4 linked regions of the Sus scrofa genome follow. The protein of the gene in region 1 binds, or shares a complex with, the protein of each later gene. Links are inferred from orthologs where the notes say so. Each region holds a gene or a part of one and is shown on either strand. Other genes may lie near its edges. The genes, in order: NGFR, ARHGDIA, TRADD and RIPK2.

Region 1 (3,562 bases):
CTTAAGCTACTGTCCCTTTCATTTCAAGAGAAGTGAAAAGCAGAGATGCTTTTCTCTTCTTTGCTTCTCCAGCCCCACCCTCAGCCGCCAAAATAATGACCCTGCGCTCCATCTTGGCTCTTGATGCCTTTAGAGAAGCTTAAGATTTAGGACCCCCCTGCCCCCAGCAAGCTTCAGTTTCCCTCCAGTGGGCTCCTAATATCTCTACCCCTGCTTCCGCCTTCTGGGCAGTCCTCCTACCCCAGTTGTCAGGTTCTAAACCTGTGCTCTTCCAGCCTCTTGGATTCAGTCTGGCGTCAATTTCTCCACCTTGGGCTGGAAGGGGTGACGTTCTGGCTCTGTGCCTTCCTGCCTCTTTGCACGAGGATGCAAGGACTCTGGCATCCCCAGCACATCCATGCCCTGATTCTGGAGCTCCCGCCCCTTAATTGAGCGTGAGTCAAGCATGAGCTTGAAAATATTTCCCTCGTGCCATTTGAAAGGGCGCTGGACTATATGTGCAAGTCCTTTTTCTTTCTAGCCCGGATCCCTCCTGCTGTAGCTTTCGTGCCAGGAGTCCATCCCTGCCCTCAAGAGCCAAGCCCTTCTAGCAGCCAGGAGTAGCAGCGCCGTGGGTGGGAAATTCTGTTGTCTAACCCTAGTCACTCCCATTCAGGACACACCTGCTCCCACCTGTGCCGAAAGGGATGGAAGGAGGCTCCCTGGGGAAGGCCGGCTGTGCCTGGGCTGGGTTCACAGCTCAACTCTGGCCTGCAGGGAGGGCTGGATGGGAACCATGCTCAGATTATTCCTTAATCACGCTGGGAACTCTTTAAAAGAGTTTGTCCAAAAAATGTACCAGCAGTGGCTGGGTTACCCCTGGGAAACCCCAGGGCCAGAGCTTCCGGGGTCTGGAGCTGGGGGCTCTCGGCTCCCTTCCTCCTTCCCAGGCTCCTGCCACCAGCTTTGACCCCAGGGGAGGGGGTGGGAGTCAAAATGGGGGGAGCGGGGCGAAACGAGGGGGTCAGAGCCCTGGCCCTGGCCGGGGATGGGGCAGGAAGGCTTCCAGCCTCTGCATCCTACGTGCCCCCAAGGAGAGGAAACTAAACTGGGGCGCAACTTCCCCGCGCGTCCATCTGTCCTCAGGCGTGACCTTCTCGGACGTGGTGAGCGCCACCGAGCCGTGTAAGCCGTGCACCGAGTGCGTGGGGCTGCAGAGCATGTCAGCGCCCTGCGTGGAGGCGGACGACGCCGTGTGCCGCTGCGCCTACGGCTACTACCAGGACGAGACGACCGGCCGCTGCGAGGCGTGTCGCGTGTGCGAGGCGGGCTCGGGGCTGGTGTTCTCGTGCCAGGATAAGCAGAACACCGTGTGCGAGGAGTGCCCCGACGGCACGTACTCCGACGAGGCCAACCACGTGGACCCGTGCCTGCCCTGCACGGTGTGCGAGGACACCGAGCGCCAGCTTCGCGAGTGCACGCGCTGGGCCGACGCGGAGTGCGAGGGTGAGTGTGCGCGGAGCGGACCTGGGGCAGGCAGGCTGGGTCCTGGCCGGCAGGACAGCCCTGTGGCCTCGAGCCAGCGGGCATCCTCCCAAGCCTTCCCACCAAGGGACCCCGTCCACTATTTCCGCCTTTGGGCTAAGTGGTTGGAAAGCCATGCGCCTCCTCCCAGGCCCCACTCCTTTTCCAAGGCTTTATTAATCTGTGGCTACTGACTGGGGATTGGAGGGGTGACAGTTAAGCAGCCCAGAGGTGGCCTCTGTGTGCAGAGGCACAGATAGGACATGTTTGATCCTTGAGGCCGACTCTCTGAACTGGAGGAGGGGCCCGAGGGTCCTGGGGGTTGGGCGCTTAGTGGTTTATGGTTCTGGGACCTGGGATAGAATCCACCCTGTCCCTTACTATCTGCTTGAAGTCAAGGAAGTCACTCCTGCCTCTGGACCTGTCTCCTTACTGGTCATCGGGTTTCCAGGGTTGCTGTGGGTTAGGGAAGGGGGCTGGCTCCCTTCCCCTGGTGGGAGAGGGGTCAGCAGTCACTGGTACAGTTGAGTCAAGGATGAAGTTGGACCCCGGGAACACACACTAAGTGGTTGTGGGGATAGGAGCTTGGGGACAGAGAAAGAAAGGAAGCAGCAGGCCTGGGGCTCGGGAGCCAGAGGACGAGACAGGTGCACACAGACGGCCCTTTGCCTCCCCCCACTCCCCCCACACCGGGGTGGATGGGAGCTGAGGGTGCCCACCTTCGCCAGATGGGGGCAGTTCCTGGGGTGGGAGGAGGACACCCTGTGGCAGCCAGGACAGAACTGTTTTGGTCTCTGGTTGGGGACATCCATCTTGGGGGAGAGACTGACAGGGCCTTTGCTTTCTGTCAATCACCCCATGGCTGGGCACACATTTCGCTCTTTCCCCTGGGGACCCAACCCTCAGGGTGGTGCCCTCACTCTGAGCAGGCGGCACCGAGCCTCCACCAAGGAGCCCTGAGTTGGACAGGACACAGACGGCCTTTGCCCGAGTCTGATGAGGGAGAGGCGGTCCCAGCACTTAGTTCCTGGGAGATCCTTCATTCTGGCGGAGGCTGCATTGCCCCCCTGCCCCAGTCAGCCCCGAGTCGCAAGGGAGTGATAGAAGCCTGCCCGGGGAGCCTCTAGTCTGACACACCCATGCCTTCCTTCCACATCCTGTGATCCCCCCCCTTGCACAGGGACCTCAGGGTGGAGAAGGCTATTAAGCTGGGCTGAAGCCAGGTATGTGTGAGAAGCTTCTTCCTGTATTCAGATGTGGGGTCAGGGTGGAGGAGCAGGGGCGGGGGGGAAGAGAACAAGGGGGTTCCGGTGGCAATTGCCCTGGGCCAGGAGACAGGCAAGTAGCATCAGGCACAGAGCAGAGCAGGGAGGGAGTTTCAGCAGCCTGCAGGCGGGCAGGCGGGCAGCACCGGTCTGCGGGCAAGTCCTGACCAGCTGGCAGGTGGGCAGGCAGGGGCTCAGTTAGAGCAAAGGAAGGTGGTGGCTGGGGGAGGGGGGGGGTTCTGCTTTTGGGGAGTGGGCTTTCCCAGCCACCCTGAAGGGGGGCATTTATCTCTGTTCCCCACCCCCACCCCCGGTTCTAGCCTCTGAAGGGGTCAATGTCAGCTCTAGGGCAGAGGGAACGTTTCTGGAACTGGAATTTGATTCCTGCTTTGGTTGCCCCCGCCTCTGCCCCAGTGCAGGGTACTTCCTTGCGCATTCATTTCAGGTGTCAACATGGTGACTCACCCACCCTGGGGGCAGAAACACACCCCCCTACCACCACCACCAACCAAAGAAAGTTGGGTTTAGGAAAGGTAACCTGGTCCCTCCTTCCACCCCCACGCCTGACAGCTCCCATTCCGGAAATGGCTGTCAGGACCTGCCGAGGGCTTGGTGGGTTGGAATGCTAGTGGACATGGCCACATCTGGATCTCATCCCCTGCTTCCCTCCCAAGGGGGGGCGGGGGGTATAGATTGGAGAGATGTGGGGAAAGCACCTTGGAAGGCGCTGTCTTCAGCCTGGTCCATCCTCCGCCCTCTCTCAGCTCTTTCCCACTTCTCTCCAATCTCTGTGA
Region 2 (4,002 bases), about 25 Mb from region 1:
CAGCGGGTTAAGGATCCGGCGTTGCCGTGAGCTGTGGTGTAGGTTGCAGACACGGCTGGGATCCTGCGTTGCTGTGGCTCTGGCATAGGCCGGTGGCTACAGCTCCAATTCAACCCCTAGCCTGGGAACCTCCATATGCCGCGGGAGCGGCCCAAAGAAATAGCAAAAAGACAAAAAAAAGACAAAAAAAAAAAAAAAAAAGAATAAATAAAGTAAAAGGCACTTGGGTTACTGGAAAGCAGTTTGGCAGCGAGGCAGGACGCCCGGCTCTGGCGTTGCAGCTTCCAGTAACAGGACGCCTGCGAAGCACATCCCAGGAACCAACCAGCTTGGAATGCTCTGCCTTTGGCCAGCTCAACTTTCTACACAGAAAGCTGACAGTATTCCCCAAACTGGCGCAAGTTGAGACATTTCCAAAAATACTAAGATCAGTATTTCGCAGTTCTATCGCTTCTACCGCCTAACAAGCCGATGCGCCATCCAGGTGAGCGTACGTGACCGCGCCGTGGAGCGGAGGGCTTGGACCCCACGCGGAGAGACGAGCGCTGGGGGCCCTCGGCAGCGCGGGCTCCATCCCGCCGGCCACAAATCACGCGCGCCCCCAGCCCCGGCGCTCCGGGTGGAGACCCCGGGGGACGGTGGCGGCTGAGCCAGGGGCTTCCGGAGTCACGAGCGGCACAGAGCCGCTCCCGATGCTGAGTTTCTCTTCGTGAAGGAGCGCTCCCGGCAGGGCGGCCAAACGCTGACGGGTCTGGAAAGGAAGGAAAGGCAGGGACGGCGCGCTGGTTTCGGGGACGGGGGCTGCCCGACTAGCGCGTCCCCGCGGTGTGACGGCTGCGTGCCCGAGAGACACGCCTGCGCCTCGCGTGCCACGCCCACCGTCCGCGAGCCACTGCCTCGCCCCTTTAGCTTGCGGGTTGACCCGCGGGGACGCCCCGGACCAGGAAACGCAGGTGCCAAAGGGCGCAGAACCCCAACCCTACCGGCCTCCACAGGGCTCCCCGCTCGCTGCCCACGCGGGACGCGCCCACAAGCCGGGATCTCAAGATGGCCGCGGCGCGCTCCCAGCAGCCCCCGCGCACGCATGCGCTCTCCGGAGCCCGCCCGGCGCGAGCGGAAGTCGCGTGATCCCGGAAGTGGCCGGCCGGGCGCGCGCGGGTGGGGCGGCGACGTTCGTCATTCCGTGCGGGAGGGAGCGCGAGAGCGGCGCGGTCGAGGCTCCGGTGAGCGCGGGCGGCGGGGCCGGCTGGTGCGGTGGGCTAGCGGGCGGGGCAGCCGCGGAGGGGGAGGCGGGGGGCCGCGCCTTTGTTCCCGCCGCCCGCCCCGCCCGCCCCGCCCTCCTGCCTGCCCACCCGAAGGGTCTGCGCTGGGCGGGGGCGGCGGTGACAGCGGGCGGCGGCCGGGGCGCCGGGGCAGCCCACGTGCGAATCGGGGACGCCGGAGGAGGGAGGCGGCGGCGAGGGAGCTGGAAGGCGAGAGGTGGGGGCGTAGGGGCCGGGGGCGGGAGCTGGGGATGCACAGAGGTGCAGGCCTCTTTTGTGGTCGCAGCTCGTGCTCAGCGGCTCCCTCCTCGCCGGTGCACGCCAGCCTGCTCCGGCCGGACGCCCACTCGCCTGAGCCGTGTGGCCCCCGCGCCCCACCCCGCGCGCCTGCCGCGCCCTGTCCAGATTGCGGGCCCTGCAGGAAGTGCGCGCCGCGCGATCGCACTTAGAGGATCCTGTCGCCTGCGGCCGCGCTTGAGTGGCGTTAGGGCGTGAGCTTTCTAGAGGAATTCCAGAGGAAGCGACTAGGAGGTCTGGAAATACGGGCCGGGCCCCACCCTGCCTTCGGCGGCCGGGTGGTTCCGGGTCCCCCGCGGCCCTTTGTGAGATCTTGTCCGCGCGCACATCCCGGCTTTGGCTGTCTTTACGGACAACGGCGGCCCTGACCCACCTCCCACACCACCGAGTCGGGTCCGAGCGGGTTTCAGATACTGCTCGGGGATTCCGGGGGGGGTATGCGATGGTCATTCTTAGTGAAAGAAGACCAGTGGCTGCCCTATGCACTGCTCCTCTCTTTGATGGCACTGCTGCGAGCTCTTCTGGGCGAGGATCCCGAAGGGGGCTCCTGAAATTCCCACACGTCTAGAGCAGTTTCCAAATTCTAGGTCTCTGAACCCTCACAGCTGGAGATAAGGTTGGCAGACATTTAGGGTCCCTCGTCCATTTCAGGATTTATCTGTGCGACTCAGGCTAGCCCTGTCATCTGAGCCTTAGGAGAGCCTTGTGTTTGTAGGGTGAGAAAGAACTAACTTGTAGCCTGCACAGACATTTAGGACAGGCCTGAAGGAACAGACCGATCAGCAATAGTCAGTAGGAGGGATCTCTTGAGGTGAGCCCCTGGGCGATTCAGGACAAGCAGCAGGACTTGGTCCTGACCCTGCTAGGTAGGTCTGGGGTGCTGCTGCTTCCTGGAAGCAGGGGAGCTGTCCCTGGTCTTTGCAAGGGGCAGGCTGGGGCCTCTCTAGCCCTGGATACTGTGGACCTGGAATTGGGTCCCCTGAGGTGGGCAGGATGAGGAGGTGAAGGTGGCCCTTCTGGGCCTCGGGAGACTGTTTCCGGGCCCTTTTCGACGTTCTGGCTGTCATGGCCTTCCTGTTACAGAGGATGCGCCTGCTCTTGGGCCCACATGGAGGCTTGGCCACCTGTGGAGGAAGATCCAACACTGATCACCAGTGGGACCTGCAGAAGGGCTAGAAGGGGCGACGCTGGGTTCCTCCAGGCTGCCACAGCCCATGCCACCCTGCCCACAGGTGTCCCAGACCCCGCTAGAAGAGAGCATGGCTGAGCAGGAGCCCACCGCCGAGCAGCTGGCACAGATTGCAGCTGAGAACGAGGAGGACGAGCACTCGGTCAACTACAAGCCCCCGGCCCAGAAGAGCATCCAGGAGATCCAGGAGCTGGACAAGGACGACGAGAGTTTGCGCAAGTACAAGGAGGCCCTGTTGGGCCGCGTGGCCGTGTCTGCTGGTGAGTGGACAGGAGCGCGGGTACCCGTGGCTTTCCTGGGTGTCTGCCGCTATTTACCCCCCCCCCCCCCCCCCCGCAGAATTCTAACTTGCGATCACTTTGCAGACCCCAACGTCCCCAATGTCGTGGTGACCCGCCTGACCCTGGTGTGTAGCACTGCCCCAGGGCCTCTAGAGCTGGACCTGACAGGTGAGTGGCCTCTCCGAGGTTCCTGGCTGGGGCCGCAGCGGTCGGCTGCTTCCGCTAAAAATAGTTTCTCGGGCTGCTGGCGCCCTCTGCTGGGGAGCACAAGAAGTGCAGCCGAGTCCTCTTACAGGGGTTGTGGCTTTTCCAGTCTTGCGTCTGGGGTGCCCAGGATGGTGGGAGGTGACTTCCTTTGGGTGAACTTCCTAGCATGGTCTTTCTCTCAAATTCAGGAGATCTGGAGAGTTTCAAGAAGCAATCCTTTGTGCTGAAGGAGGGTGTGGAATACCGGATAAAGATCTCTTTCCGGGTAAGGCGCCGGCGTCGGGGAGGTGCGGGGCCTGGGTGGGAAAGCCTCGCTGAGCCCTGCTCGGGGTGCCTCCCTGCAGGTGAACCGAGAGATCGTGTCGGGCATGAAGTACATCCAGCACACGTACAGGAAGGGGGTCAAGAGTGAGTGAGCGGGGCCCCCAGCCCCCAGGAGGGAGGGAGACCCGGGGGGTGGGGAGCAGAGCTGCCTCCTGACGGCTGTGTTCCCTGCATCGCAGTCGACAAGACCGATTACATGGTGGGGAGCTACGGGCCCCGGGCGGAGGAGTATGAGTTCCTGACGCCCATGGAGGAGGCGCCCAAGGGCATGCTGGCTCGAGGCAGCTACAGCATCAAGTCGCGCTTCACAGACGACGACAGGACCGACCACCTGTCCTGGGAGTGGAACCTCACCATCAAGAAGGAGTGGAAGGACTGAGCTGCGGCCGGAGGGAGGCGGGCAGGGCGGCCGAGGTCGAGGACGTGCCCCCCCACCCCCCCC
Region 3 (2,343 bases), on another chromosome or scaffold:
CCCAACTTGTCCCAGACAAAGCAAGCACTTCACCTCCCCCAGGACCCCTATCTCGGCAGGCAGCTCCACCCTCCACCCAGCTGGCAAAGGCAGAAACTTTGAGGTCCTCTCCACCAAGCTTGTTATCCTTTGTCCTGAACAGCTCTCAGGGTTCATCCCTTCCCTCCATCTCTGCTGCCAGCTGCTGCAGTCTGGACCACTGTCCTCTCTCAGTCTGCATCCTTACCAGCCTCCCAGCCTCATCTACCAAAACCCTTTAAAGGCTTCTCATTGGCCTCTGGATAAAATCCAACTCAAAATGGCTTACCAGGCCCCATGCCATCTGCCTCCCCCACTCACCAACAGGTCTCTGCAAATCCACCTACCCCTAGAGCCAGCCAGTCTAAACCTTCTCAGTCTAAGCCCTCCCTCTCAGCTTCCTTAAGACCTCAGCTGAGTCTGGCCATGCCCAGAATATTGACTTTCTCTTCCCCTCCCCCCATTCATACTCATTTCTCTCCCAGGAAGTTTCACCCCTGCTCAGCTGCAACCCCAATTCCTTGTATTTTTCACATCAAAAAGTGGGTAGTATTTTATTACTGATGCTTAATATTCAGAGTACCATACTGAGTGTCAACTGGGAGCAGGCAGGATTCGTGTATCTTGTTTCAGCACAATATTTGGAACACTTAAGATGATGCCTAAGATACAGCAGGTCCTTAATGAATTAATGAATAATAATTGTTCATTCGGTGAATGAAGAGGTAAGGTCTGGCTGAAAGCCCCTCTTCTGGGGTGGGAGAGGGTGAGGCAGACTTCTGCAGCAGGTCACCAGTTAACTCTGTCTCTATCATAGTATTTAGAGCAGAACCTCCAGCAGGCATAATGGATGCTTGTCCGTCTCCCGGAGAGGGCAGTCACCTCTGCCCAGCAGCTCCAGCAGCTCAGCGAAGTGGGGTTGAGTGTCATCTCAGAGTCCCATGGATGGACAGAAGATCAGCAGTAGCAGCAGAAGGGAACCTATGGTCATCCAGGTGCCCCAAACCCTGGCTGGGCAACTGGCTGACCACCCTCTTTCTCTGGTACTCAGTCTAGGCCAGGCTGCCATCGGGATTCGCCAGGCCCAGCAAGTCTTCTGCCAGGCTGGTGAGCTCGTTCTCCTCAAGGGCCTCTACCAGGCGCTGCAGCGTGGCTCGGCGGCCCTCGGCCTGCACAAAGCGCCGCAGCAGCTGAAAGGCCTGCTCGTACAGCCCTTCGCGCTCGTATTCATAGGCCAGTGAGTCAAGAGCCGGGTCCCGCAGCGCCCGGCAACCACGCTGCAAGGAGCGCCCCACCTTGCGCCACTTGAGGCCCACTGAGCGCGCAAACGTCAGTTGGTCCTGCAGGCTCAGCGGCCGGTTCACTGCAGGGGGAATGGGAAGTGGCGTGAGCTGGGGAGAGGAGACACTTCCATTCCCACCCTGCGACTATCCTGCCCAGACCTCGCCCCTCCCCAGACTCCATCCTACAGAGGACCCAGCCTTTGCCGCTCTCCGGGCACCTCACCGACAGGCTGACCCTGGAACAGAAAAGTCTGGCCAGACGGCGGTGGCGGCAGCTTCTCCGCAGTAGAGGTGGCTGGAGCGCCCTCCACGTCACCCCCTTGGCCCCCTGAGCCGCAGGTCAGATTTCTGAGCGCATCCTCCAACTCTGTGAGTTCCTCATCCCGGAGCCGGTCAGGCTAGGGAGGAGAGTGCGGCATTGGTGGGGTCTTAGCCTCGGATCCCCACCCCACCTCACCCTGGCCCCAGCCCGGCCGCACCTTCTGGGCGAAGATGAAATTCAAACAGCGTTCCTCGTCTGTCAGCAAGGCGTCCAGCCGCTCTGCGCTGGCGCGCAGCTCCAGTTGCAAAGGCACGGAACTCAGGGCCAGAGCAGCCTCCAAGCACGCCTGCAGAGCGGTGCGCAGTGCCCCCTCGCGGTAGGCCCGGAGGAAGCGGCTGCAGGCCTGGCGCCCACAGAAACGCAATTGAACAATCAGCTGCGGATCGCTGCGGTGAATCTTGAGCATCTGCAGCTCCTCCGGGCTCCCGCCACTCTCTGCGGAGGCGGGCAGTCAGGCACCACGAGGTCCCCTATCGGGCCCGTTCTCCAAGAGGCCAGAGGAGGAACGAAGCCCGAGGTCAGACTCCCTCCCTATCCCCAGACCTGGGGGCAAGGGTATAACCCAGAGCTCCCAGCAGGGAAGCAAAATTGGGAGGCAGACAACAACAACCCAGAATAAAGGCCAAGACCTCTCACAGAGAGCACCTTAAGACGGAGTGGGTGTCACTTTAGCCCCGTCCTTGAATCCTCAAATGAGGGTGGGCACAAGGGATGTGGGAG
Region 4 (4,115 bases), on another chromosome or scaffold:
CACTCATTGGGCAGAAGTCAGGTTATAGAGAACTCACCAATCACTAAAATAAGAATGAACATGTGACAGCACATAAATTTATTTTTCTTTCATGATTCCAAAGAACAAAGCAAACATTATCCACACCAGAGCCCAAGAAGTACATGTATTTGTATGCCTGGCTTTACAAGTGAGGAAATAGACACCTGTGAGTCAACAGCACAGCCTAGCCCTATGCTCAGACTACCAAAATACTGCTAATGTTAACATTCTAGGTAATAAGTGGGAGAAAAAAATGTGATGCAGTAATGCCAAAGCGTATCACTGGTTTTTATGGTTTCTTTGACAACAGAGTTAGTCTCCTTCCAAATTTAGTAAAGAATTTTAGATTATAAAAATTGTTAATGAGCATGGAAAGGAAACTCCATCTTCATTTCTTGGCCCCAAATGGCACAAAACTTAAATTAAAATCTTGAGAAGCAGATCCAAAATGGATCAATTTGCTTTAAAATACCTAATGAGTACATAAGTACTAGACTTCTACATTTTAAAACAGTTGATTCTAAAATATGTCCGCCTTCTTTAATCAATCACCACTCTTCAGAGCTGACTACATTCACATACACAACATTGCCCAGGACCTGCTCCACAGAATTCAAGGCCCAGGATAAACACACCCTGTATATCAGTAGGTCTGGATTATGGTACACAAAAAGTGTGAAAAATATCTAAAGATGTCTCAAACTTACTGTAAGATCTAGTCCATCCAAGCCTGACAACAAGAGAGCAAAGAAAAGCCCCAGGCAGATGAAAGTTAAATATTAGCAGTGCTGAAGCTGAGGAATTAATCTGCTATTGGATGCCTACAGCCTCTGGCCAATCAGGCATCTAGCATGATGTATTTTCACTTTAGACACAGGGAGGAGGAGAGGAGAATGTTGCAATCATGAATGTTAACTCACTAAGAATTGAATACAGGGCCTAGTTAAATTCCTGTTGGAAAGAAAATACACAAGACTGCTGACTAGATCACTGACTAATACATATGGTTCAAAGACTTTTCTGGAAACAGAAACCATTGCTAGCTGTCCCTTAAAAACTGGACAACTGCACTAATATTGTTGCTGGATTTGAAAGACATTCAAAAATTTTGGTCATATAACCATCTTCTGATTTTGGTTTATTGTTAGCAAAAAACAATATGTATTTCCTCTAGGGACAGGCTTCCTTCTCTGTGAGACTAAGGGTAGAAACCAAACTGAATTGAATTTGATATCTAAACTTTCATGACTACATGTAGCGAACCAAAACAACAATAAAAAGCCAAAACTGAAACATCCCTGACTCTAGAGCCATGCTGTGCAATAAAAATATGTGAGCCACACAATTAAAAATTTTCTAGCAGCCACTTTAAAAGTAAAAAGAAACACCTGAAATGAACTTTAATATATTTATCCCAGTGTATCAAAAATATCATCTTAGCATATCAATATAAAAGTATTAATGATATATATAATTTTTTCAATAGTGAGTGGTAGAAATCTGCTGTGTATTTTACACTTAGAGCACATTTCAGTTCAGAAAGCCACATTTCAAGTGCTCAAAAGCCACCTATGGTTAAGAGCTACCTATTGGGTAGAAACCCATCTACAAAAACAAAAAAACAAAAAATCAAAAAAACCAAAAACCCCAAAAAACAACAACAAAAACAGAAAAGAAGGGGTGAAAACAAAGCAAACAAAATCCAATTTCAGTAAAGAGGACGTTTAGAGTTGGGCTGTGACTGCAGATTTTTGGTGCCTGGAGAAAGTAAGGCCAAGGAGAGAAGGCTGTGAAAAGAAGTGCGATGGCTGCTGCATCTTCAGAGAAGCCAGTTTTCCCTATCAGGTTAGCCCTGAGCCTTGAAGGGCTGCCTAGCAGTGACGAATGGTAGGGCCGACTCCATGGTCACCGTCGTTTGGGCAGAAGAGCCCGCCAGCCCAGGGTTGGAGCCAGAGGGGACAGGGCACATACATTTCGGGACTCCGCGGGGGAACCGCTGGGGAGACTTACCTGTCAAGCAGTGGGGTGTGGATGTGCAAGTGCTTTACGGCCACCTGGATGCGCCAGTCTGCGTGGCGGGCGGACGACACGGTGCCGGACGCGCCACGGCTCAAGTAGCACAGGTCAGCGAGCTTTCGGTACGGGATGGTGGGCAGGGCGCTGCAGATGGCCTCCTCGTTCATGGTGGCGGGCGGCGCGGGCACTCGGCCACCAGCCGGTTCCGGGTGTGCCCGCTGTTCCCGCGGCTCCGTCCCAGCGCGCTCGGGGCGGCCAGCCCTCCCCGCTGTTGGACGCTAGGTCACGAGGTCATCCATTCCCCGAGCAGCCCACACCAAGCCGCAGCGTTTCCCGAGCCCGAGTACTCCTCTAGAGACTGGGGTCGCTGGGCGGGTGGAGGAGGAGCTTCCTCTCAGGCGCAGCCACCAGAGCCCGCCCTTCGGGGCTCCTCCCTCCCTAGACTTCTCAGTCGACGTCAGCGACTGACGCTAAAGCGACGAAGAGGGCCCCGGTACAGCCCGCGGTCCTTCCAGCTGGCTCCGGCCTCGATATGAGGCCAGGATTTCTGCCTGGTGGCGCCCAGAAAACCCGTGCCGCTTCGGCGGGGTACGGGCGGGCTTGGGATGGGGAAGGGAACCAGAGGCGCTCAATTTTGTCTTCTCTCCCCCCACCTGCTAGGTTTGGAAAGTTTGCTTTTGGGCACAGTTCCTCTCTGCAGCCTCATACCGGGCAGCAGCCCCCCCCCCCCCCCCTTACCCCGGAGGAATTTCCTCTGGGCCCCGAGTGTTCCGGGAGTCGCTAAACCCCGGAGGGGTGGCGGGGCGGGTGTGATGACTGACAACTAGGACTGTGCGCCTGCGCAGAATGTGCTTTGAGGGAATGCAGTGGTGACTAACCAGGACTCAGCTCTTGAACCCAGTGAGTCAGATAGGGGTAAATTTACCTGCCTATCTGAACTCCAATCTTCCATTACTTCCAGCTACTTCAGTCTTGAGGGGGTGGATTGTCGGAGTTTAACCCCGACAAAAAGTTCAGCTGTTTAGTTCACTATGAGACCTATTTCTCTTACTCCTTCCCCCACCCCCAAAGTCCACAATTATAGACAGAGATTGAAAAATAACCTTCAGTCTCTCCTTCCCTCTGATTCCAGGTAAGACTGAAAACGCTTGTCTTATAGATCTGGGAAGAAAACAGTGTTTAATGTCAGTCAGAAAAAACTGCAAACATCTGTTCATCTTTTTACCTTAAACACTTTTCTACTGAAATGACTATTTTGCAAAGTGTGCGTGCAAATATATGCAATACCAAGATCATGCCAGACATTTAATGAATTCTAAGACAAAAGTAATAAGGAATGCCTGATTTCAATGAGAGATTTTTGCCTAAAGAGAATCGGTGCTTCCTTTTTTGTATTGTCTGAAATGATAGTGGCAATGTTACATTTTACAATAAATGGAAACTGTAATGAGAGTGTTTTAAAATTTGATCATTCAAAATAAAATGTCTAGCTTCAAAGATATGGTCTGATAATCTGTGGTTTATTACTTAATAAGCTTTTTGCTCAAAAAGTGCTCAGAAAACTTTTTCCTTTCATTCTTTCATCCAGTTAAAAAAGAGTTCCAAAGAGAGTAAAATGTAAATAAAGAGGAAATGATCAAAATAACAATTTAAGAAATTTTTCCAGTATCAAAGGACAAAGGTCTTCATATTGAAAGGGCCCATTAGCTCCTCACAGTGAATGAAAAAAGACCTATATCTTTAAAATTTTTTACATTTTTTGTTAGAGTATAGTTGATACACAGTATTATGTCAATTTCTGCTGTACAACATAGTGACCCAGTCATACTTATATGTGCATTTTTTTTCCTCATATGGTCTTCCATCATGCTCTACCCCAAGAAATTGGATATAGTTCCCTGTGTTGTACAGTAGGACCTCATTGCTTATTAATTCTAAATGTAATAGTTTGCATAAAGATACATATTAAAACACATCAATAAAAAGATAAGAACCCTAAGAAAGAAAAGATTCCAAAAGTTTTCGGAGGGAAGAAACAAAAAAATGAATGGGAATTAGAATGGCATTGGATTTCTCAA

Evidence for each region.
Region 2: the proteins of NGFR (region 1) and ARHGDIA are in contact, whole or in part, in an NMR structure (PDB 8X8T), measured with the Homo sapiens proteins. The link is inferred for Sus scrofa from reciprocal best matches to the Homo sapiens genes NGFR and ARHGDIA. Residues at the interface, in NP_002498.1 of Homo sapiens: Arg274, Trp275, Ser277, Cys278, Lys279, Gln280, Lys282, Gln283, Gly284, Ala285, Ser287, Arg288, Pro289, Val290, Asn291, Gln292, Thr293, Pro294, Pro295, Pro296, Glu299, Lys300, Leu301, Ile307, Ser308, Val309, Gln312, Ser313, Asp316, Gln317; in NP_001172006.1 of Homo sapiens: Ala8, Glu9, Leu11, Ala12, Gln13, Ile14, Ala15, Ala16, Glu17, Asn18, Glu19, Glu20, Asp21, Glu22, Val25, Pro30, Ala31, Gln32, Lys33, Ile35, Gln36, Glu37, Ile38, Gln39, Glu40, Leu41, Asp42, Lys43, Asp44, Asp45.
Region 3: the proteins of NGFR (region 1) and TRADD are in contact, whole or in part, in an NMR structure (PDB 7CSQ), measured with the Homo sapiens proteins. The link is inferred for Sus scrofa from reciprocal best matches to the Homo sapiens genes NGFR and TRADD. Residues at the interface, in NP_002498.1 of Homo sapiens: Glu345, Glu346, Glu348, Lys349, Leu350, Asn352, Gly353, Ser354, Ala355, Glu379, Ala380, Cys381, Arg384, Glu420; in NP_001310481.1 of Homo sapiens: Thr201, Phe202, Asn211, Ala275, Glu276, Arg278, Arg279, Thr281, Gln283, Arg284, Glu287.
Region 4: the proteins of NGFR (region 1) and RIPK2 are in contact, whole or in part, in an NMR structure (PDB 2N83), measured with the Homo sapiens proteins. The link is inferred for Sus scrofa from reciprocal best matches to the Homo sapiens genes NGFR and RIPK2. Residues at the interface, in NP_002498.1 of Homo sapiens: Gly334, Leu335, Ser338, Leu339, Pro340, Lys343, Val347, Ser354, Ala355, Asp357, Arg360, His361, Gly364, Glu365, Tyr368, Pro370, Ile373, Asp374, Leu398, Asp399, Leu401, Leu402, Arg406, Arg407, Ile408, Gln409, Arg410, Ala411, Asp412, Val414; in NP_003812.1 of Homo sapiens: Gln437, Ser465, Arg466, Asp467, Leu468, Met470, Glu472, Asp495, Ile496, Gln497, Gly498, Glu499, Glu500, Lys503, Ile523, Leu524, Val526, Ser527, Arg528, Ser529, Pro530, Ser531, Leu532, Asn533, Leu534, Gln536.

What each region holds. Positions count from the first base shown.
Region 1 is NC_010454.4:25,709,362-25,712,923, forward strand, and holds part of NGFR (tumor necrosis factor receptor superfamily member 16), read left to right. Parts: intron 1-1,125; coding exon 1,126-1,485; intron 1,486-3,562. UniProt on the Homo sapiens protein: Low affinity receptor which can bind to NGF, BDNF, NTF3, and NTF4. Forms a heterodimeric receptor with SORCS2 that binds the precursor forms of NGF, BDNF and NTF3 with high affinity, and has much lower affinity for mature NGF and BDNF.
Region 2 is NC_010454.4:1,112,219-1,116,220, forward strand, and holds the start of ARHGDIA (rho GDP-dissociation inhibitor 1), read left to right. Parts: upstream 1-1,176; 5' UTR 1,177-1,223; intron 1,224-1,455; exon of another isoform or gene 1,456-1,479; intron 1,480-1,553; exon of another isoform or gene 1,554-1,793; intron 1,794-2,642; exon of another isoform or gene 2,643-2,773; coding exon of another isoform or gene 2,774-2,818; coding exon 2,819-3,008; intron 3,009-3,113; coding exon 3,114-3,197; intron 3,198-3,424; coding exon 3,425-3,501; intron 3,502-3,580; coding exon 3,581-3,644; intron 3,645-3,739; coding exon 3,740-3,939; 3' UTR 3,940-4,002. UniProt on the Homo sapiens protein: Controls Rho proteins homeostasis. Regulates the GDP/GTP exchange reaction of the Rho proteins by inhibiting the dissociation of GDP from them, and the subsequent binding of GTP to them.
Region 3 is NC_010448.4:27,797,050-27,799,392, forward strand, and holds the end of TRADD (tumor necrosis factor receptor type 1-associated DEATH domain protein), read right to left. Parts: intron 2,274-2,343; exon of another isoform or gene 2,059-2,273; coding exon 1,781-2,058; exon of another isoform or gene 1,700-1,780; coding exon 1,525-1,699; exon of another isoform or gene 1,382-1,524; coding exon 1,071-1,381; 3' UTR 545-1,070; downstream 1-544. UniProt on the Homo sapiens protein: Adapter molecule for TNFRSF1A/TNFR1 that specifically associates with the cytoplasmic domain of activated TNFRSF1A/TNFR1 mediating its interaction with FADD.
Region 4 is NC_010446.5:47,072,314-47,076,428, forward strand, and holds the start of RIPK2 (receptor-interacting serine/threonine-protein kinase 2), read right to left. Parts: upstream 2,821-4,115; 5' UTR 2,205-2,820; coding exon 2,032-2,204; intron 1-2,031.